2 linked regions of the Tamandua tetradactyla genome follow. The protein of the gene in region 2 purifies or fractionates together with the protein of the main gene of each other region. This does not show direct contact. Links are inferred from orthologs where the notes say so. Each region holds a gene or a part of one and is shown on either strand. Other genes may lie near its edges. The genes, in order: GRHPR and PGM1.

The links.
Region 1: the proteins of PGM1 (region 2) and GRHPR fractionate together in Homo sapiens (co-fractionation; 3 studies listed by BioGRID). This does not show direct contact. The link is inferred for Tamandua tetradactyla from reciprocal best matches to the Homo sapiens genes PGM1 and GRHPR.

The regions. Positions count from the first base shown.
Region 1 is NC_135328.1:57,768,901-57,781,136, forward strand, and holds the start of GRHPR (glyoxylate reductase/hydroxypyruvate reductase), read right to left. Parts: upstream 4,959-12,236; 5' UTR 4,902-4,958; coding exon 4,819-4,901; intron 3,079-4,818; coding exon 2,948-3,078; intron 2,058-2,947; coding exon 1,985-2,057; intron 1,792-1,984; coding exon 1,675-1,791; intron 420-1,674; coding exon 331-419; intron 1-330. UniProt on the Homo sapiens protein: Enzyme with hydroxy-pyruvate reductase, glyoxylate reductase and D-glycerate dehydrogenase enzymatic activities. Reduces hydroxypyruvate to D-glycerate, glyoxylate to glycolate, oxidizes D-glycerate to hydroxypyruvate.
Region 2 is NC_135337.1:62,483,458-62,495,696, forward strand, and holds the start of PGM1 (phosphoglucomutase-1), read right to left. Parts: upstream 5,868-12,239; 5' UTR 5,811-5,867; coding exon 5,511-5,810; intron 966-5,510; coding exon 803-965; intron 1-802. UniProt on the Homo sapiens protein: Catalyzes the reversible isomerization of alpha-D-glucose 1-phosphate to alpha-D-glucose 6-phosphate. The mechanism proceeds via the intermediate compound alpha-D-glucose 1,6-bisphosphate.

The sequences.
Region 1 (12,236 bases), on a different chromosome or scaffold from region 2:
CCAAGTCTAAGGAAGTCTGGGCTCTGCCTCAGTAAGCTGTTCCTAAAGGCCCAACAGCTTTCATTTGTTCTTTACGGGGCTGTAATCATAAAGAACCTGGTCTCTTATACCTTGCTTTTAACACCTTGTGAGTTCTAAAGGAGCTCCTGATTTTTTTTTTTTTTTTTTTGCCTGTGTTTCATGAAGCTATGGCTTCTCATTAGAGATTCCCCTACTGTGAGCAAAATGCCCTGATACCATGATCATATAACAAAGAAGGATTTTTAGCATCCAGACATGTGGTGCCGGGGATTCAAACCCAGGGGCAGGCAAGCAGGTAGAGAGACTCACCTATGCGCCCCAGCCCAATGATGCCAACTGTGCTCTGCGTGAGTCCGTAGCCACACATCCACAGGGGCTTCCATGAGGTCCAGCCACCGCTACGGAAAAGGGAGGGTTGGGGGAGAGGCCCAGTGTCCCTGGTCAGAGCCCGTGGTCTAAGGTATGGACCCTGCTCTCCAGGTCCAACTACCGAGAGGGCTGAGTTATACTTACAGCCACTCAGCACTGTGAATGAGCAGGGGGGATGATTCCTCTTTTAAGGCTATCCAGGCTACAGAATTAGTGGGCTGGGAGGGGCCTTGGAGGTCCCCATCCCATTTTGCAGGTTGGGGAATGGCAGGTAACAAACTCAGGATCTGGGACTCCAGAACCAGTGCTCTCAGGGCCTCTAAGGCAGCAATGAAAAATAAAGTCACAAGGCCCAACTCCTCTTGCCCTGAGGGGGATAGGAGAACAGAGCTTGGCTTGAACCACCTCCAATGAAAGTGACAAGTCTTGCGAGAGGAGGGTCAGTGAGACATTTGCACTGTCTCTCACCAGCCCCATGCTGTGTCCAGTCTCTGTTCCCACTATATATCCGCCCCGGAGCCAGGCTCCGCATCCCTGTTCTCTGAGGGACTGCATTTGCCTACCTCCCACCTCAGTTCAAGCCTTCCAATCTGCTCAAGCCATTCCCTACACCTGGAATGCCTTCTCCCACTTTCAATACACAGACCCCATTCCTTTATCTGAAATGTTTCGGATTTTACAAAGGTAGTGTGATGCACGTGTTGTGTTCTACATCATACCCTTGGTAAACCACCTTGTATCAAACACATCAGCATTTCTGCAGCAAAACATGAATATTCACATAGAGTAGAAAAAATAAAGATCACAAGTAGTCTCATGTCAGTTCCTGCCAGGTTTTGCTACCAGAAGATTTATGAAACAACTTCAGTTTTCAGAGCTTTTCTTTTTTTCTATTTTTTTTTTAACATGAACAGCACTGGGAACTGAACCCGGGTCTCTGGCATGGCAGGCGAGAACTCTGCCACTGAGCCACCGCGGCCACCCGTTTTCAGAGCTTCTTTGTGGGGTACAGACCTCTTAAGCCCGCAGGAAGATGCTTAAATGCTACTTCTTCCGTGAAGCCCTTCCTGATCCATGCATCCCACTCCCAACCACGCTCTTCCTTATCCTCTTATCTCACCATTTCCCTCCACACCCGGTTTATGTCAGTTCTGGCTACGCTTTAGGATTTTGGCCACTGGTCAGGGATTGTCTGCAGTCACGGATCATGTCCATTCAGGAACCCTGGGTGCTCAGGAACCAATTGCCGAGCAAAGCCAACCTTCTCACCCGGCCCTCACTCACTTCTTCACTTCTGTGATGGCCTCCGGCAACCGGCGACCAGTAGTGAGTAGCAGGGAGACAGCGAGCTCGGCGGTGGCATCTGTCAGGACATCTGGGGTGTAACCCACACGGATCCCACTACAAAGTAGAGATCTGATGGTAACACCAGCCACAAGCATCTTCATTGATTTTTACTGCTGGGAGCTTTCCATGTGGTACTTTGGTTATACAGGGGTATGAAGTGACAAAAACAAAACCTCAGCCCCTCTTCCCCCTTCTCTGCTGGCCACCCTCACTCCAGGCTCCCTTCCAAAACCCAAGCCGCACTTACCGCTTCTTGATTTCATCCAAAGCCAAGTGGTCGACACCCACGGACAACGTGCTGATGACTTTGAGATTGGCTCCTGCCATGTAGGAAAAGCACCATTTGTACATTTGCTTGTGGAATTCCAGATTCTCCTCTATTATGGGGACCCTGCTTATTATCATTTTCTTACAGTAAGAGTAAAGGCTAATGTCTCATTTAAAACTCTGACAATCCCAATTTATACAGACACTGAACTCAGAGAGGTCAGGTAGCCTGCCCCAGTCACACGCTGCCAAGTGGCAGAGCCAGGGGTCCCCCCCCCCCCCCCGCCCCCAGGCCTATAACACCAAGGCACCCACTCTTACCCACTGGACTGTCTGCCCAGAGTCTCCTTTGGCCACAGCCCGGGGCCTCTCCCATGAATACTGGGAAAGCACCGAGATAGCAGCTGTGACCCCTCACTCCTCTGGGAAAGGTGCCAGAAAGCTCCCAGGTCAAGGCCAGCACCAACTCACAGGGACCCTCCCTACCCAGCCAGCAGCCTCTGATTCTGAACCTTTCCTCAAAATTGCCAGGACCACAGTTTACTCTACCCTAAGGTTCCTGCCTACACTGAACTGGGCCCTCTTTCGTGCTGCAGATGGGACCAAAGGAAAAAGGGCCTTGTTCCAGATCACAGAGCAAGCCATGGCAGGACTGGATGAGGCATGGGAACTTGGGTGCTCTCCCTTGCATGCCGCTGCCTCCAGACCAAGGTATCTGCCCTCGTAGGGCCTTCCTCCAGGGATTCACAGCCAGGAGATGAAGGCAATGTTCATGCCAGATGGAGCTGCCAACAATGGCTCCCTCTGGCCTGGTATTGCAGCAAATGCCCTCAGAACCAGACAGGTTGCTGAAAGCCTGATCAGGGAGCCAGCAGCAGCAGGCCACGTGCTTACAGGGCCAGCATGCCTTCTGAATCCACCCCAGACCTGCCCATGCACATACCTGCAGCATCCAGGAGCCTCTTGTCTACACGGTCAGTGAGAAGGCAAAGCAGGCCGTGGGCCCCAGCCACACCTCGTTCTAGCTCCTTGTCAGGGATGGGCTCATCCAAATCCCACTGCTCCACCTCACAGCTGAAGGCAAAAGGAAAGACCACTCAGAGGCAGGGGAGCCCCTCAGATGCTCCTGGTCCCGAAGTCCCACAACCACATTCCCAGCCCCTCTCTCAGAGCTAGGAAACACCGCCTTCTGCTAGTTCTGGCCTTGGGTGGCCTGCGGCTGGCTGAGAGGAGTCAGAGGTCAGCATGGGTGGTGGGAACCTCAGAACTGTCCTGAGAGGGCAGGTGAAAGGTGAAGGGCTGTCACAGAGCAGAGGAGGGGGCAGGAAGGCCTGAAGAGCCTAAACTGAAAGAGAGAAATCACATGGACAGCTCTTAGCTCAACACAAGGAAGAGCTTCCTATCACTAACAGGAGGCCTCATGGTTAGTGAGCTCCCTGGTATGGGACGTCCAAAGAGGCAGCCAATTGTTGGGAAGGCCATCAAAGAGGTTCTGCCATCAGCGGGGCTTGGATTCCACGACCAGATGCATCATTTTCTGTCCTGTGAGTCCATGAAATGGAAAACTCTCATATTTGAATGTTGCCAGGAAGGACGACAAAAGGGTGCACTTCCATGACAGCGTCTGGAAAGTATACATTTCCCAGTTGTGCAATCCAGTCTCTTGGCTTTTACCTTAAAATTCAGGCCAGCCAAGCTGTATGGAGCGTTTACCTGTGCAAGCAATCTACAGCTGCAGCTCTCATCTTGCTGACTGAGCCCCAGGTACAGGCCACCTCTCATCCACTTTTACATGAAAGTGGCACACAGAGCTAAAGCAGGTTTGAGCTACTGATATTATGACTATTTTTTTCTGCTTTCTCCCATGCCCACCCCAATGAGCCCTTAGTACAGCAAAGGTTTTATCACACTGAATGAAATAAAAAACAAATCTCATTTTCCCCTGGAACTGGTTTCCAAGGCTGGGTCCCACCTTCTTCCTGCCTGCCACTGGCAGTGGAACTCTGGTTTGATAAAGTGGTCAGACTGCAGTCAGACCTGAGTTCAAATCCCAGCTCTACCACTTGGGAGCTGTGTGACTTCAAGCAAGGTACTTAATCTCTCCCAGCCTCAATTATCTGTGAAATGGGAATTATAATGCCCACTTCACAGTGTTGCAAGCACTAAATGAGTCTATGTACATGAAGCCCCTGCCAAGGCTGGCACACACAAAAAAATTCACTTCTTAAGGGATCACCAAAGGCCTCCGAAAACAGTTCAAGTGACTGCCAAGGTCCCTGACCCCTGCCTGCCTGTCATCAGGCAACCTTGGCCGTGTAAAGAACTAACAAGCTGGACCTTGCATCATGGGCGGTCTCCCGTCTTCCCAGGTCAATGACCGCAAAGGGCTCTAGTACCAGCGGAGATGGGGGCGTCCCAGTGGCACTGCACAGGTCCTGGAGATTGCTGGGCCTCAGACAACTTTCTCTAAGCCTTACAAGAACTCCAAGTCCATTCCCGCCAAGCACAGGCTAAAAAGTCCGGCCAAGGCCTGGGCCCGAGCTGTCCCGGGCCGCTGGGATCACCTCGTTACCCTCCCCGCTCTGGAGGCCGCCCTCAGCCTGCCGCCTGCAACTCCGGGCGTCCCCAAAGGGCGCCTGGAGATCGCTAAGTCACCCTGTGCACAGGGGTCCTGCGATCTGGGGAGGGCACGGCTAGGGTCGTCTCCGCAGAGCTGCCCCGGGCCCCGCCCCCGCCCCGGCACTAACCCCCACCCCGTGCGCCCGGCCCCGGACTCGGCGCGCGGGATGGCGCGGGGCGCGGGGCTTTTCTTACTCTGCAGCCTGGGCGAGCGCGGCCCTTCCCTCGGGGGGAATCCTGCGGGTGACAAACACCTTCATGACTCGCGATGGCCTCATCCAACCTGCAGCCGGGGCACACTGACCGGGACGGGGCCAGAGGGAAGGGAACCGGAAGTATGGGCGGGGCCTCGAAGGGGCGGGGCCGGGACTAGAGGTGAAAGCCTTGGAGGGAGGGGAAGGGGGCACAGGTCGGCCCGAGTGGGGGCCTGTGGGACTGTGGAAGTGTGGTGACTGTGCGTGTTCAGGGAGTGACTGTGACAATGTGTCTTCGTCTGGGGTGTTAGGGTGGGGTTCTGAGCATTTGCCATCAGCCCCTAAAGGAACTGAGACTAGTCCTGGGGGTGATGCGGCTATGGGTGTGCCTTGACCCTAGGTTCTCCCTCCAAATGCCCACTGCCTCAGAGGCTTGGGGACTGGCAAAGGCATGTCTTGGGGGTTGGGGTAGGTAAAGGGCACCCAGAGGAGAGTGTGTGTGAATGTGTTTAGGTATGTGTGGATATGACATGTCAGCGTGGCTACAGCTCTCAGAGGGTGAGTGTGTTCTGGGGCCAACACCACTCCCAGGGCCTGAGTGCCCTGACCATCCACGCTAGGTCTGTCCCATCTTGGTCACGCTGTTCCAGGCAGGGGCCTCTGCTCACACAGATTGGGCTCTGAGCCAGGATTGAAGTTCACAGACAACAGGCTGTACCTGGGGCTTTGGAATCTGGGAATGGCTCATTAGTACTTTGTGCAATTTCCATGTGAAGCCCTCAGTAGTTGGGGGGCGGGGGGTTAATGGGTGCAGGCTACCCAGGCTTGCTGGAAATTTGCTGAGTGGCCAGGGGCAGGTCCTGCAGAGGGCCATGTTGGGGTCATGTGGGGACATGGTCAGACCCAATGTTTGCAGTCAGAGGCACCTGGCTGCAAACAACAGGGCTGGTTGGGGACATGTGGGGACATGGTCAGACCCAATGTTTGCAGTCAGAGGCACCTGGCTCTGAACCCTGGCTCTGCCACTTACAAGCTGTGTGCCCTTGGTCAGGTCATGCCATCTTCCTAAGCCTCCTTTTCTTCAGCTCCCAAATGAGGCAGTAACACTTACCTTTGAGGGTTATCGTCATGATCAGATGAGACAACATCTGCACAGGCTCTGGGCCTTGTAGGTGGGCAACATGTCCTGAGGCCATGGAGGGGAGAGGTTAGGAGCCTGGGCTCTGGAGCCAGACCTCCTGGGCAGACATCCCGGCCTTGCTAACGACACGTTATTAAACTTCTGTGAGCCTCAGTTTCCTCATTTGTAAAACGGGAATAATAATAGTGCCTGCTTCATGGGGTTGTTGAGAGTCTGAAATGTATGCACCTGTGTATTGTGCTATGACAACGCCCCCTAACAAGTGCCATGGTGGATGCTTGACAAATATTAACGCATCTAAGGAAACCAAACCCCTGGTGCTCTGGGGCCAGCAGTTGGTCAAGGATACAAATGCTGAAGCCAGACTCTGGACAAGTGGGAAAACCTCAGGCCTGCTGGCTTCATCTCTGAAGCCTGCTGGGTTATCTGTTCTCAGGCCTGAGAGTACCCAAAGGGTGGTTTCTCCTCTACCCTCTTCTCCACTTATTTTAACTGAATCCTTTCTACCCTCTCTGGGCCCAGATAAGGAAACAGACACACGGGAGGTGACGTCACCAACTTGGTGCCACCCAGCATGTCATTGGAGAGGTGAGAGCCGGCACCCACTGTCTGGCACTCCACCCTGCCACCTCCCACTCTTGAGTAACACAAACAGTTATCTGCACTGCTAGGCCATCCCAGTGAAATTTTCTGAATATGTCAAACATTGACATAAAGAGGTGTTCTCTGTCCCCACACCAGGCCCTCCAGGGAAAGCGTGACCCAGTGGCTCAGCCCTCTGTTAATGGGTAGTGACAACAGAGCCCCACTGACCTCCCCCACACCAGGACAGGGGAAGGCACTGGGCAAGCCTGTCCACCGGGGACGGGGGGGCGTGACATGTTAGTGGGGCCTCTCCCCAAAGACAGAGCACTCGGTAAGAGCTGCGGGGTGGTGGACCTGGAGCCAGAATGTGGGTCCTGCTGAGGACCCCAGAAGAGGGATTGGGCAAAACCTGGGCAGCCTGGTGAAGGGGTAAGGAGAGGAAGGATTCGAGAACTGGAGAGGGGTGGATCATCATCATACATCATAATACATAGCTGGTATTTATGGACTCTTAGAAAGTTCCAGATACTGCCCTAAGCACCGTCCATGGTGACCCACTCATTTAAACCTCTTGGCACCCTGCAGGGTGTGTGCTATCGGGTGATTTCCCCAGAGGCAAACACTGTCACCTGTTTCTTGTGTATCTTTCCAGAGATGTGCCATGCTAATTAAGAATATGCAAAACAGTTTTGGCAACTCCTCAGAAAGTTAATTGAATTACCATTCCACCCAGCAGTTTCACTCCTAGGTATGTGTATATCTAGGGAGAAATGACTATATATGTCCACATAGGAACTTGTTGTTGCTCTTTATTCCTGGTATTATTTATTCATGAGAGCCAAAAGGAGGAAACAACCCAGATATCCATCCACAGACAACTGCAAAAACAGTGTGACATATCAGTACTATGGAGTATTACTTGGCCATAAAAAGGAATGGAATTCTGAAATGTGCTACAACTTGGATGAATCTTGAAAACATACTATGTGAAAGAAGACAGACATGAAAGGTCATATATTGTATGCTTCTTTTTATATGAAATATCTGGAAAAGGCAAATCCATGGAGACCAAAAGCAGATTAGTAGTTGCCAGGGGCTGGGGGCTAGGGACGGGGTGGGGGTGGGGCTGGGTACGGGGCAGGGGGGCGGTGCTTACACAACACTGTAAATGTACTAAATGCCACTGAATTGTACACCTTGAAATCAATTTTTTATCTGCTCTGTGAGTTTCACCTGAAGCAAAAAAAGAATATGCATTTTTTAGCACAAATGGTAGCACATACACTTTGTGTCATGAAAGAGTATATCTTGGAGCTCATTCCATATCAGTGTACATAGAGCTGCTATTTTTTGCACGGGCAGGCACGGGGAATCAAACCTGCGTCTCCGGCATGGCGGGCGAGAAGTCTGCCCGCTGAGCCACTGAGCCACTGTGGCCTGCCCAGAGCTGCCTTTTTAATGATGCAGAGCATCTTACTAGGAACAGGATGTACCATAAATTAGTTACAGTCCCTTATTGAATGACCTTTAGGTTGTTCCCCATCTTTTATCACAATGCCACAATGAAGAGCAAAGCATATGTCACTTTGCACATGTGTAAGAAATCTGTAAGTCAGAGTCCTAGAAGCAGAATTGCTAAGTCAAAAAATACGTGCAAAAAAAAATGTGCACTGTTCTAGTTTGCTAGCTGCTGGAATGCAATATACCAGAAACGGAGTGGCTTTTAAAAAGGGGAATTTAATGAGTTGCCAGTTTACAGTTCTAAGGCCGAGAAAATGTCCCAATTAAAACAAGTCTAAAGAAATGTCCAATCAAAGGCATCTAGGGAAAGATACCTTGGTTCAAGAAGGCTGATGAAGTTCAGGGCTTCTCTCTCAAGCGAGAAGGCACATGGCGAACACAGTCAGGTCTTCTCTCTCAGCTGGAAGGGCACATGGCGAACACGGCGTCATCTGCTAGCTTTCTCTCCTGGCTTCCTATTTCATTAAGCTCCCCGGGAGGTGTCTTCCTTCTTCATCTCCAAAGGTTGCTGGCTGGTGGACTCTCTGCTTTGTAGTGTTGCTCTCTCTGAATCTCTCTGAATCTCTCATTCTCCAAAATGTTTCCTCTTTTATAGGACTTCAGAAACTAATCAAGACCCACTCAAATGGGTGGAGACATGTCATTCCCTAATCCAGTTTAACAACCATTCTTAACTAAATCACATCAACCAGGGAGATGATCTCATTACAGTTTCAAATATACAGTATTGAATAGGGATTATTCTAACTTTAAGAAATGGGATTTATATTAGAACATGGCTTTTCTTAGGGGGCATACTTCCTTTCAAACCAGCGCATGCACTATACTATAAATTTTCATAGATCCTGTCAAATTGCTTTTTATAGACATTGTTTAATTTACACTCCTACTAGCAATGTAGGAAAGCACCTATTTCCCAGCAGATTATTTTTTTCAGCATATAATTAAAAAATATATATATAGCAACAAACAAACAAACGTCTTAACTGATGATCATTCCGTTCTACATATATAATCAAGAATTCACAATATCATCACATAGGTGCATATTCATCATCATGATCATTTCTTAGAACATTTGCATCAGTTCAGAAAAAGAAATAAAAAGACAAAAGAAAAAAATTCATACATGCCATACCCCTTACCCCTCCCTTTCATTGATCACTAGCATTTCACTCTAAATTTATTTTAACATTTGTTCCCCCTATTATTTATTTTTATCCCATATGTTCTACTCATCTGTTGATAAGGTAGATGAAAGGAGCATCAGACACAAGGTTTTCACAATCACACAGTCACACTGTGAAAGCTATCATTACACAATTAACTTCAAAAGACATGGCTACTGGAACACAGTACTACAGGCAGTTCCCTCCAGCCTCTCCATTACATCTTGGATAACAAGGTGATATTTATTTAGTGCGTAAGAATAACCTCCAGGATAACCTCTCGACTCTGTTTGGAACCCCTCAGCCATTGACACTTTATTTTGTTTCATTTCACTCATCCCCCTTTTGGTGGAGAAAGTTTTCTCAATCCTTGATGCTGAGTCTCAGCTCATTCTAGGATTTCTGTCCCACTTTCCCAGGAAGCTTCTGGGTTTTGTTACACATAGCGCATCAGTTATTTACTGCTGTGTAACTAATTATCCTGAAACTTAGTGGCTTAAAGCACACCCGTGGGAGTCATGTCCCACGTAGACAGAGGGAGGATGGTAAGTTTGCTTGTTGTATTGGCTGGAGAGAGAGGCCACATCTGAGCAACAAGAGAGGTTCTCTGGGGGTGACTCTTAGGCCTAATTTTAAGTAGGCTTGACCTATCCTTTGTGGGGTTAAATTTCATATGAACAAACCCCAAGATTGGGGGCTCAGCCTATAGCTTTGGTTGTCACACTGCTTATGAGAATATCAAGAATTCAACTTGGGGAAGTTGAATTTTCCCCCTTTCTCACCATTCCCCAAAGGGGACTTTGCAAATACTTTTTTATTCACTGTTCACATCACTCTGGGATTTTTCGGGGCATCACTCTGGACAAACCAACAAAATCTCATGTCCTACCTGAGATTCCAAGTACTTAACGTGTTCAATCAAACTATCTACATAAGTTATATTAGGAAATGCACTAGTCAAAATATAAATTTTGTACCAAACAAACATGTTTTGCTTTAGTCTCGCACATAAGGTGAGATTTTAAAATATTAATTACCATCTATTTTCAACACCCTGCAGTAATGACATTCCTTTGTTCTTCCTCATGCAAAAATGTTTTTTAAATTTGTACATTTAGTCACTATCATTACAGTATATTATTTTTAAATGGTATTTTACTGTAATTTTTATTTACAATAATAAAACTTTTCATATGTTTTCTGTGAACTGTCTATTAATATCCTTTGCCATTAAGTTGGGTTGAGCATCTTTGTTTTACTGATTTGTAAAGACCCTTTATATAATAAGGAAACTAGCCTTTTGTGATATGTCACAAATATGGCATTTTCCCCAGTTTGATGTTTCTCTTAGGATTTTATTAATTTTTTTAAGGCAGAAACTTTTTTATTTCTATGGCTTCTGGGTTTTGTTACACATAGCGCATCAGTTATTTACTGCTGTGTAACTAATTATCCTGAAACTTAGTGGCTTAAAGCAGCAACAATCATTTTACTATTATCTCTTCTGGTTCTGGGATCAACTGGGCTCAGCTAAATGGTTCTCGCTCAGGCTTTTTTGGGTAGCTGCTGGCCAGAAGGTTGCTGGAGCTGGAGTCATCTCAAAATCTTTCTCACTCATAGGCCTGGCAGCTACCCGCCTCAGCGGGGGCTATTGGCCCCACCACCTGCACCAGCCCTGCCGCCCCCCCAGGGCCTGGGTTGTGAGCACCGACCTCCCAAGAGACAGAAAGAATTTGTTTCAGTAGTGCAAGGCCTGAGCTTGGAAACTGACACTGCATCACCTCTGCCGTACTCTACTGGTCCAGCAGTCACAGAGCCCAGGTTCAAGGCCAGGAGGCACAGACCCCCTCTCGCTGGGAGAACCGTCCAAGAACTGACGGGGCCACGTTTCCAAACTGCCTCACATGGAAAGGCCCTTTTCACATTGGGTTTATTTATTTTTTTCTTTTTAATGTATCTCTTGCTTTCTCTATCTGGTCCTTTCATGGTTTAATTTTTTTACTTTTGAAATTTTGATGCAGACTTTTTTTCAGATAGCTACCAAGTTGTTCCAACCACTATTATTAAATAATCTATCTTTTTCCCATTGATTTGATATCTTACCAGTATTATATACTGAATTTGGGTCAATTTGTAAACTTTATTTCTGTTCTGTTGAACTATCTATCTAGTCATTTGTGTTAACATCACACTGTTTAAATTATTATAGCCTTATAATATACTCAGTATCTCCCACAATTATTTACTGAATGATCTAGACTTTTCCCACAGACTGAAGTGGCACCTTAATCGTACACTAAATAAATATCAATTTGTGTCTCTTTCTAGACTCTCAATTCTGTTTTTTGGGGGAGGGGTGAGGGTGGGGGTGCATGGGCCGGGAATTGAGCCCAGATTTCCTGCCTGGGCGAGCACTCTACCACTGGATCACCCGTGCACCCCCTCAATTCAGTTTTATTAGCTTTTCTGCCTATTCTCTTGCTAATAATACAATTTTAATGATCTTAGTCTCAGCATACTTTTTAAATATAAAATAAAACAGGTTCCTAAGGAAAAACTGTTAAATGGGAACACCCTCTCTGACTTAACTAAGATAAAGCCTACCTGTCCTTCATGATGCAGTTCAACGTCGCCCCCTCCAGGAAGTCTTCCCTGATACACCCATCCCCTGTCTGATTTAAAGGTCCCTCCTCTGGGCTCACAGACCCCTAGGATACCTGGGGCTTGTAGTTCACATATCTGTCTTCCTAATAGATCCATGGGATTTTTGAGGGCAGGGATCATCTCTGAGTCAGCCCTCAGCCCCAATACAGTATCAAGCTTGTAGCAAGGACCCAGTAAATGTTCATCAAAGAACGGGTGATGAACGGGCAAAAGCTCAGGGGCAAGGAGGATCCAGGACAGGTCAGCAGTCTGAGGTTGGGGTCCAACTAGGATAAATCAGAGGAGGGGTTTCTCAGGAGTTCAGATTTAATCCTACACTTAGCTGTAAAGCAGGGAGAA
Region 2 (12,239 bases):
ATTCTAAAAATGACACTGGTGAACACACAACTATGTGACAATAATGTGGGCCACTGATTGTATAATATGGTCGGCTGTACGTGTGTGGCTATTTCTCAATAAAAATTTTTTTTAAAAAAGGAAAAGGAGTTATAACAGAGAAGACAGGATTTAACAAAGAGTATGAGCACTGAATCACTATATTGCTATTTCTTCTAGCCTCCAGTGTTTTGGAGCAGCTAGAAGGAAAAATCTGAAATCGTGGAATGGTAACCCAGGACAAACTTGGGGATCTGTTCTGTAACTGTTTGTTGAGGTGTACTTTGAAAATGATTGCTTTTTCTTTCTTTTCTTTGTATGTATGTTATATTTCACAATAAAAAACATTTAAGGGCGGGCCGCGGTGGCTCAGCGGGCAAAGTGCTTGCCTGCTATGCCGGAGGACCTCGGTTCGATTCCCGGCCCCAGCCCATGTAACAAAAACGGAGAAACAGAATACAATAAAACAAGAAAATGTTTAAAAATGTTTCCCTTTCTTCCTTCCTTCCTTCCTTCTATCCTTCCTTCCTTCTCTCTGTCTTTCCTTTAAAAAAAAAAAAAAAAACATTTAAAAAAGGAGAAAAAAGGAAAGCATGTTTAATCATCATATGTGCATAGCTCCTCCCTTTCAGATACAACAGAATGAGAAGCATCTCACTTTCACCAAAAGAAGGTGAAGAACGCCCTTGCTGGGATCCAGAATTCTGGACTCCCAAGGTCTCAGTTATCGGTTTACCCTACCGAATGCAAAACTGACCATCCTCAAAATGACAAGCAGACTCACCTCCATTGGAAATATTGAATTTGATCCCAAAGTCTCCACTGGGCCCTCCTGGGTTGTGGCTGGCTGTCAAGATGATCCCACCAATTGCTTTGATCTTTCTAATGATGCAGGACACAGCAGGGGTGGAGAGGATCCCATTCTGCCCAATGACCAAGCGACCAATCTAGGAGAAGAAACCCAGAAGACACAACTTAACATCAGCAGACACAAGGGACCGCCCAGAAGCACTGACGAGGCCGGCAGATGGACAAAGAAAAGCTCTCCTGGACCAGGAAATATTTTCTTCTGTGAATATGTACAGCTTGGATGGTCTCCACCATATCGCTGAAGAAGAAGCAAATTGCTAAACAAAGGCATTCCTTCAGACAGCTCTTTGTAGTTTTAGGACCATGAGCTCTGGTGGTGGGATAAGGCTCTGGCAAGAAAATATACGACAGTCACAGCAGGGCTTTTCCATATAGTGGGTTTCTTCCAAGTAGGACATATTAAGTGTACCTGGATTACCTCGTGGGCATGGAATGCTGTGAGTCATTACTGAGGAAGCCAGTTAGAACCACCTACATGGACGTGATACAGGTGATACTTTTGTTGCATTCTTAACTCACCTTCCCATTTCTCTTACAGACCGCACCAGCACAGCTCCTAACCCTTCCTTTGCTAAAATGGCAATAATTTATAAACATTTCAACATGACCCATTTTGGAGAAGGAAGAAATTCTGTCAGTTCCTCTGACATACTTGAAGATGGGACTGCTATAAAAGGATATATGAAATTCAGAGGCTGTACCTGCTCTCCCGTCTCCTTTTGAGAGAAGAAAGGGATAGGAATGTTTTCAAATTTCTCATGTTATTTTGTTTTTGTTCCACCCAAGATAAATAAGGTTGAAGAAGTGAGTTGATGGCGGAAGACAGGTTTTAAATGTTGAAAATACAACGGAGATACCTGTATTACCTGGGAAAGCTTCTCTGGGACTCTGACCTTTGCCATCTCCTATGGGCCATGGAAAACATAAGTCATAATTTAAATTCTCACTGCCAACCACCTGCCAGGAGGCATTTAGTTCACTTCAGTCATCACCTGGCTCCCCATATACTGAATTCTGGACAATTTTTGTTGTAGCTGCACTAATATATTTTTTCCCTGTTCTACACTTCCCCAGTAATGGTAATGGCCAGGGTAGGTGCTATTGTTAGCCTCTTTTACAGACTGCAGGAACCTGTAGAGCACAGGAAATCAATCCTAATGATTATTATTGTGCTGCAGAGTTCCTTCTACATCCCCTAGCACTTTGGATCCATTCTTGCACTTGCAAGAACTTCCAAGCTCCATTGTATGGATGAGGAAACTGATGTCCAGAATTGTCATGATCCCTCCCATTCATTCATTCTTTCATTCATCCAATAGCAGCAATAAGCATTTATGGGAAAGTGCTGTGCCAGATACTGGGATAGATGACAGGACAAGGTCACATGGCAAATTAGTGGCCATCGTGGGGAAAAGCATTGAAACTTCCTGATACTGCAAATGCAGTTGGAATGGTGACATCTCACCCTTCCGGGAATTTCCAGGTGTAAATAAAAGCCTGTGGTTGGGTTTACATGTTCAGAATTTCTAGAACATGGCAGGAGACAATTTAATCAGCTAGAGAGGCTGGTAGAATTATCTGGAAGTTGCATTTGCACATCAAGCACATGGACTTCTACCTAGATTTTGTATGTATTTGGTGCAGAAGGGGAGACTAATGAATTTTAAGCTATGCCTCCACCCAAGTTATCCCTTAATTCTTCCATTCTTTATGATGACAGCTGCAGTCCATAATGGTCCCAGACTGAGGGGTTTATAACATAGAAAAAGGGTTTCTATGAAGGAAACCCTTTTTCTATGTTATGTGAAGAAGGAAAGTTGAAGTAACAGAAGTAACAGAAGTCCATGGTCGCTTCTCTCTCCTAAGCTCAAGAAGAGGTACATCTGTACTTCTCCTGCAGAGCAAACTCTTTCCTTAAGAATAGTTATCTTATGGAATGATTTCTAAATGTTGTGTTAATTTCTTTTTTTTCTTTAATTAAAAAAAAAAGAATAGTCCTCTTCAACCCAATTATCTGGGGAGATGTTACTTTTTTACCCTCACTCCCTTAAAGATGCCTGAATCACCGTGACAGTTCTTGATTCAATCTCCCACCCACGCTTTCCTCCTTCTAACCCATCCACCTGCTCAAGTACACCTAGTTCACACCTTCCCAAACCACAGTTCTATGGCGGACTACCACAGTAGTCCTTCATCTACTCCACAACTCTCCCTGGCTCCCAAGAGCTTACTTACCAAATCAGAGATAATTCCATCAGTCTGGCACCACAGCCCCTCATCATACAGCCCCTGCAGCCTTTCCTCCCTCCACGTCACCCTACCAGACTAGATACCTCACTGTCCCCCCAACCCTTCATATCCAAACACGGCAAGGAAAAAACCTGTAAATTTCCCTTTTACTTGGAAATAGGGTCTGCTGTGTTATGTTTGTCCCATAAAAGCTAAGTTCCATTTTCTTTGTCCTGCTGGTCATACTCATGGATTCTACTCCCATTTCTAAACTTATGTCTAACAGCTCCAGGGGCTGAATGCAATATTAATATTCTAAGTGGGGACCCATCAATGTCTTATTTTGTACATGAAAATTTCCTGTAAATGCAAACAGTTTTACACAAATGAGAACAAAAAAAAATTCCTAATGAAAGCAGATTATATTCTATATTCCACAAATGCACCAGATAAAGATATACTAAAGAGAGAGAGAGGAAAAAAAAGATCTCCACTTAGCTCACTAGGCTAAAAAATCCTTCAAGAATCTTCTCCTGCATGGAATGGGTACTGGCAAAAGTGAGGAAAGAACGCTGAATTCTAACAAAATCTGCAGCAATATTTATCCTTCCTTTAAATGTCCTCCCTGATATCCTGTCTTCAAGATGTGACAGGTATACAACCAACAAGGGATGGTAAAACAGTCAGAACTTAGGATAAATTAGAAAAAGAAGAAATCAAACCACTTCGGATTTGTTAGGTTTTATCAGGCTAAGGTACTTCATCGGTCCACTAAATATTTGAAGTCAGTTGGGTGGCAGACTGCTTTAAATGCAATAAGCAATGCCCTTGAAAAGACTTGAAAATATTGCTTGGGCTGCCGCAATTCTGACAAATAGGCAGTTACCATATTTAGTCAATTATTATCACTTCAATGTATTATTTAACAAACCTTCAGACTGTAAATCTGAGAAAGTCTATAGGATCTGCCCAAATTACACATTCTCACCACCTTTTCCCCATCCTTCAGCTCCACACAAAAATGAAATGAAGCCAAATATATCACAGCAAAGGGGACAGTGTACCAGATCCATTCACCAGTCTAGATATATGCAGAGAAATAATGTTCCATTCGTTCCTTCTCGAAAGATTAAAAGCATCTTAATACCATTCCCTCTGCAGCTCTCCTCAAAGATGAAATTTATGGCATGTCACATTTTATCTTAAAAATATGTATGCTTCATAATAATTTCATATTTGAGTGCTTTATCAGCAATTTTTACATGAGGGGCATTCAGATTCTGAAACTGAGTATCAAAAGAAAGCTCGCATTATAAACAACAGGCTCTACAAACACTTAAACCTGGTTTGGTAGAGCATTTTGTTTTTTGTCTTTAATTTGGCTTTTGCAATCACACTTGCTTGTAACATTATTAAAATAGATTGAAAATGAATGCCCAATACATTTAATTGCAATGCTAAATTTATGTCCTCGGAACCAGAATCTCCTCCAGAAAGGAAATACATTCTGTTTCTAATTTACAGGTATTGAAGGTCTAAGCATTATTCCAAATGCTTAAAATATTTTTTTTGGTCCCACAGAAGAACTTTCAGAGCAAAATCAGCAATGTTCTGATGCCTGCCTTCCTGTAAATCGATGGGGCTATGCAAACTGTTAAGATTATTAAGATCAATGCTTTCTGGTACAATATTCCTTCTCATTTGGTTAATCCAGTTAACCCGCTTTTTTTTTTTTCCATGATGCAGAGCTCTAGCAGAGCCTGCTTATATTATAGTTTTACAGGAGTTATTATCTCTACCCTGCTGCACAAATTCACCGCACATAGGGTTTCTTTGTGCCCCGGGTCATTATAAGGAGGTCCCCCATAACAGGTCCTCTTGGAAGGCTCACACCTAACATTTTCCAATCCCCTCCTAGCATTTCTGCACGACTACCAGGATCCATAAACAACAGCATGCTCTGGGTTTTGTTTTCCTGTTTGACAAGTGACTGAACTTCAACAAGGAAGCCATTGAAAGAAAATAAAATCCTCCTCTCTCCACCCTCATTAGAGCCCCTCTTACAGAGGACCCGCTGCCCCTAAAAGCTAGTTAGGACGTAGATAAGACAGCTTAAGGCTGGGGCTGTGTTTTAAATGTCTAAAAAGCAACAGGTACTTTTTCAAGCAACAAGAACAGAGCACAACCCAGAAGAAATTGAACTTACATTTCTATATCTGCTAAAGTAACCACCGCGTGTATTCACGATCTACAATTTTTTTTAATTGCAATGAAACTTAACTGCCCATCAGTAGAATTAAGATCTATGTAAGTTCACTGCATACAAACCTTGTACTTCTGTGTATCTCTGCAAAATTAAGAGATTCGGAAAGGCGGAAATGTGGTATACCCACCCCATTGGCAGCAGCCATCTGCACTATTGTTTCTATTGCTGATTTATTAAAATACCGCCCATCTCCACCAACCACCAGCGATGACTCCTGGCGATCTTTTAGGTCTATAGAAAAGAATATACTCTGGATGAAATTCTCCAGGTAGCATGGTTTTGCCTCAAAATAAAAGGTTTTCTTCCGTAATCCGCTAGTTCCTGGCTTCTGATCAAGGTAGGGTGCTGTAGCAAAAGTCAACAGTGGGAGAGGACCTTCTTCCATTTTTCTGTATTTCCCAGAAATCCATCCATCAAAATCACTCATCTTTCATTTCCACCACTTGGCTCAGGGAAGGTGTCCAGAGAGCTGTCCAAGTCCTCAAACCTGAAGCGGCGACAGTGTCACTCGAGTAACCAAAACAGAGAGCTCGTCTAGATGGTCACTCAATGAGGAAGCGTGTTTAATTCCCTGCTGCTGCCCACATGGAAACATTAATGGCCACACACCTACCCACACGCGTGTACAAAGGAGAGTCCCCAAGTTGTTTTGATGAGGACACTGCTGCCCACGTAACCAAGCCAAATGCCTGCAATTATTTTTGCCTCATTCCTCTGTTAGGGTGGAGATGGCTCCAAAGGGCGATCGCACAGCAGACTTAAGTTACAAAACCAGACGTCTGCCAGACCCCACTTCCTGGGTCCAGGCAAAGTCAGAGCGGATGCAGTTCTGAGAAGCAGGTTTGTAAACAAGACACCTGGTATGGCTCTCACTGCTTCTGCCACCCCTTAAAACCAGAGCCTCTGTGCATTCATCACTGCGAAGGCCATCTGCAGCTAAAGTTGTCCCATGCCATCCAGCAATTTAAAAGGTCAATCTTAAAATGGAAGTGTGGGAGCTCAGTTACCTCTTGTTTCCTTACACCCCCATCATTTTGATACCCAAGGCATTTTTCCTTCCCACGTGCAACATCAGTTAGAAGAAAACATTCATCTAACAAAACCGATTTAACAAAATATTATTTAGTTCTAGAAGAATGGAGATCCACAAATATATTCGGAGTGACCAACAGTCCTCTGTTTCTTAAACTTCTAGAAAGAAGGGATAAGGAAGGATGCATCAAATCACTGAAAATGTGAGCAGAACTGGGAAAAAATACATCTTTTTTTATGAGTGCATGAGGTTTGATCAATCTATTATTTAGAAAAATAGTATGAGCATAAGGTTATTTTGGGGGGGAGGGGTGCATGGTCCAGGAACTGAACCTGGGTCTCCCACATGGAAGGCAAGCATCCTACCACTGAACCACCCGTGCACCCAGATTAAATTTTGTTTTTTAAATGTTTTAAGTCTTAAATAGACTTGGCTTTTAAGAAATTTTTTTAGTGAGGGAGTTTAAGTCCTTTGCATTTGAAGAACCTAAAATGTTTGAAAATATCTACCTGAATGAACTTAATATCCTTTCCCATTAGATCCATGAGATTTTACTAATAATCTGCTTAAATACATACATGTGTGTTTTACCCAGTTCAGCAGAAGCTGCCAATTAAGAAGCTCCATTGTCAAGGTTTAATGAATGTTCAAAGAATGCTTAAAAAATTAACCAAAACTAGTTGCACACATGTTTTGGGAGCTTGATATGCACTGAGTCAAGGTTTTCTTGGGAAATGTGAGTAACCATTTCAGAAAAAAAAAAAAAATCCCAGCATTTTTCTACCAACTTGGAAGCAAGGGTCAAAAGTAAATAGGCACTGTAAGCAGATAACTGCCCTCTCTGAGGCAAGAATGTCCCTGTGTTCTGGGGGCTGCTCTACACAGACCAGCAGAACAAAAGGAGCTATGAGCCCAAAACAAGCCACCAGCTAGGGTGTGGTCCCTTTCAGATGACACACAGGGCCAGCCCTGATGCAGGGACTACCTCAAGCAGTGACACTGAAAGAATTCACAAGGCAGGTCTATCAAGTTGAAAACCAATAATAAGCCATAAAGCAATGAGTTATTGCAGTTTATTTTGGGCTCTTATTTGGTATTTCAAACTAAGATTCTTTAAAAATTAAATTACAAAATGAGCTTCCTGTATTTACAGTAGTTTATACATCCACCGTTTTTCAACTCACTACAAATGCTTTTTTTTTATTTATATGCTTTACATTCTGTGCCAAGCTTTCTGTTTTTAGACAGGCTTGCAAATTAGGCCAGTAATAAGTCCTGACATAGCCGATAACAGATTTCTGCTTTATGTAATACAAACCTAGTAATCTCTTCATTGGGAATAACAGAGCAACCAACCACATAACTGCTAGTTCTCTTAAGGAGACTTTGAACTCCCAGGGTAGATTTCAGGGCACTTGCTCATGCGGGTTCTCCCACTGCTCAACCGAAACATCTCTGCCCACCCAACACAACACACTCCAGCATCCTGCTGGTGACCTGTCAATCTCTCAGGGAAGCTTTTTCTGAAGCTAGAACAGGAGAATAACATTCTGAGCGACTGGCATGGTGTTTGTCATATTCAACACTAAACCAAAAACACAAAATCCTTGCCCTAGAAAAGCTTCTATTCTAAAAATGGACCGGAGTCATAATTTTATAGACACTATAGAACTCAACCCCATATGAAAATATTACCAGAAGCAGCAATGTTAGATGGAGTGTGAAGTGTGGTGAAAAAGAAGAGGCATTAAATACATTAAGCTTCCTAAGACGCACAGACTAAGTGGGGCAGCTATTAAGAAACCCATTTGTTTTAGCTCTCCAGCAAAGGTTGAACTTCATCTTCAGAAACGTTACTGTCGAGCATAGCGAACCCAATTTGGCCTAATGAATTTGCCTGCATTGCCAGTACTCCTTCACAATGACACAAATTGCATTTAAACCATATGGGGAATTTAAGGATTACTCCCTTCAGACAAGGAACTTTCATACTGGTCTTAGGTCCCATCAATTTCACAGTGGCAGAGTGATGAACCCCTTCACTCTCAGCCTCTCAAAGTTTCCAGCTCCCATTCTGATCAGAAATGGTCCTTCCTAGCAGAACACAGCAGAAATCACAGACTTTCCAACCCTTCGTTCATTCTACCTGTCTTTCTTTAAATCAACAGCATGTATCAGACAGTTCATCACTATATTCCAGGCACCAGGTGAGGATGGACCCACGGCCGCAGCAGGTTCACCTCTTCGCACAAATGCCATAGGCATGGGAAGAGGGGATGGAACTGCTAACTCTGGGTCTAGGCACAGGCACTAGAAAGAAAGCTTCTAATTCTGCTAAGAACATCAGGGATCACCGGACCTCCACCTCGCAGCTGCTAATGGCTGCAGGTGCCTGCCCCTGAGCATTTGGGATGTTTGTCCTAAAGGTGAGAAGTACAAGCCAGGAAACAGTCATTTATTTCTCCAACCACCAGTAACAAAGCATATGGTAAATGCCACCCACCGGCGAGGCAATGAGTGAGATGGAAAGACCAAAGGTTTACGAGCCAGACACTCCTGAGCTCAGACCTTTGACTCTAAAATGCGTGAGACTGAACCTCATGAGTGAGTTACTTAACCAGGATGAGCCTGCATCATGGGGCTAACTCTCAAGGTTAAAACAGATGACCTATATAAAGACATCTGTACTGGCACATAATACATCATTACTTCATCTCTGAAGTATATGAAAGTCACTGTAAACTAGAGAATGATATAAAGATGCAAACACATTTTTTTTTACATTCATAGATGGGTCAGGTATGGAAACACATGGATGGGATTTTGTGCGCACGAAGCTCATCATCAGAAAGGACCTATCACAAGAAAACAGTGGTGGCACTGGGGGTGCATCAAATAGCTTAGAGGAGAAGAGACTGGAAAAAGATTAAGGCTGGCAAAAAAGATTCCTTCCTCAGCTGAGAGGGCTCTGAGCAGCCTGGTCAATCTTCCAGCGTGGAGTGTGTCAGCTTCCTACATACAACCTCAATTTAGATTCCTTGGGCCAATTTGAGCCTTGTTGTTGGGTTTTGTTGAACTCCAACATTGAAGACTTCTTTTCCTTCCCTCCAATTCCTTCTCCACATAGTGTCTTGCCACTCACCCCCCCTCTTCTCTTCCCAACCCATCCCAAAAGAGTGGACTCCTGGGCCATGTTTCTGCTATAGGACCCTACTTCCAGGCCATGAGCACGAGGAGTGGACACCTGAGAAAACTGGGCCAATCATATTTTCTCTCTTAAGATTGGGGAATATACAAGTTAGACTCTGTTAGTGCTGGGACCAGGAAGACACATAATCTCAGGAGCAGTGGGCAAGGACAGCTGAGTCATGAGAACAGCTGTAGAACTGTGACTGACAGCTGGATGATGCATCAGTACATATAAGAGTCAAGCAGGGTCCAACCCTGTGTGGTTCAGACACATCCAAGACTTGTGGCCCTCATGGAAGGGAGGAATTGGAAAGAGTTCAGAATAAAATCAAGCAAAAATAGGCTAGATGAAACCCTGCAAGTGGGTGGAGGCTGCAGATTTATCAGACGTGAGAATTAGGAACAGGGGCTAGGAGAGAAAGTCACTCACGTCTCCCTGACAGACTGGGGTCACTCCACACCAGATCTCAGGTGGACACGCACCTCAGCCAGCTGACAAAGTCACGCCCAATTCAACCGGAAAGGTAACTCCTAATTGCTTGGGGTGAGAGAACCTTTTTTAGTGGGCTTAAAGAAGGTTTAAAACTAAGTAGATATGATGATGTAAACCATAATCACAGTGTAGAGACAGTAAATGAATCAAAAGTAGAGTATTAATACTCTTGCAGAAAGTTTGGGAAAAAGCTATGAATATTTGGCATTTTAACTACTTTAAGAGGGTTTGGGGTATTAGGTTATCTAGCAGATAAGCCTTATGATCCCAATTTAAAATATGTAATTGAATAACCTATTTAGACTTGCGATTTTAAGTTAAAGGGGGTTAAGGAATTTGGTAAAAATTATAAATATTAATTGAACATTTAATAAAGCTTGGAATGCACATATTTATAAGTTTAACTCATTAGATCCAGACAGAACAGCAGAATGGTTCAGTGATGGGACCTAAGGTCAGACTTAGGGGATCTGAACCACAGCTCTCCCAGCCGCTAGCTGTGTGATGCCTGGCAAATTATCTAACTTTTTAATCCTCATCTGGAAAAATGAAGATAACAGCAGTCCCCCTACCATTTGTCTTTGTAATGACTGAATGAGGTAACACACAGAAGTCTCAAAAACCTGGGGCTGGTATAAGCATACTTTGTGCAAGGATCTGCTGTCAGGACCGTGACATTATATGAGAATAAACTGCATACTTTGAAAGTTTTGCTTCTCAGATTAAAGAACTTAAAAAGAAAATAAACACATTTGACTTATAAACTGGGAATAGTCATAGGAACGTGATTAAATGAGATTGTAAATAAGATCAACAAAAGCAGAACAAAACAAACTTACACAGGCAAATGGGTCAGCAGAGGGAGAGAAAAACGTAGCTGACATGCTGGACAAGCAGGGGCGAGACGAGGACGCGGTGGGGGCTCCGATCTCCGGCGGTGGGGAGGCTGAGCTGCCCACCCTGCTTCTGGCTCCTGGAGACACCCCTCTGGCTTCCTCACACAGTCCTGATGGCTCAGGGTGCTCTGAGGTTTCTGTTCCCTGCACCTCTTCGCTGTGTTGACCAGGCCCTGAGATGCCCAGGTCCCATCTGCTAGCTCTGGGTCAAGCCCTCTTTGCTGGGCACACAAGTGAGAGGAAGAGAGAAACCCCCTCTCTTCTTCTCCCCCGAGCCTCGGTCCGCAGCGAGGAGACGGGCAGACGACCTCTCCCTAAGCCTGGGCAAGAGACTTCACATTTTCATGCCTCCATTTCCTCAACTGTAAAATGGGGATTCAAAATAGCATCTACCAGATAGGTTTGTTACGAAAGGGGTACGGTAAGTTAAGAAATGTAAAGCGCTTGGAACAGTGCCCTATGTGAGTTGTTAGTTTTTGTTACTACCTTGAATCTGAAAATATGAAGGTGTGTTTCGTGCCTTTGTATTGGGAGAGCCATTAGCCATATACATTTTAACTGAGTTAGGAAATGCCCTTGAAAGGAAAGAAAACATCACATTAAGTTATGCAGAGGGTACAAGATCAGAAGAATTACCAGGAGAATTTGTACACCTAGATGGCTCAGAGGTGTACAAAATCCCAGGTTCAAAAGGACCCCTGAGGCAAATTTTAAAGTAAAAACAAACAAAACACTGCCTCAGAACATGGACATTCTTTAGCATCTTTCAGTCTGTTGTCCATCCCTTTACACGTTCATCTATCCATCTTTCCAACATTTACAATATAGAAATTGATTGATTTTATATATTAGGCACTATGCACCACAGAAAGATAAAAGAGAACTCAAACTGTCAAGAAGCTTTTGGTCCAGATTGGGACTACAGCAAATCAGAATACAGGGGAAAGGAGGACATTGTCTTTATTTTAAAACTTCAACTACTCTATGAGACCAAAGGAACAGAGGTTTACTTTGTCTCAAACCCACCTTTTCTGTAGCACATAACCTAACTCAACCTGTCTGGATAGCTCATTTAAACAACCGAAACACATGGAGCCGAGAATGGTAACCAAGGCTTGTAAGTCTGTATAGCTTATTTTAGTGCCCTAATACATCCCCTAGTATGTTGAGCAGATAATTAAAATCTATTAGCAAAGTACCTTGAGGGACAGGAAAAAAAAAAATACAGACCTGTTCATCTTTACC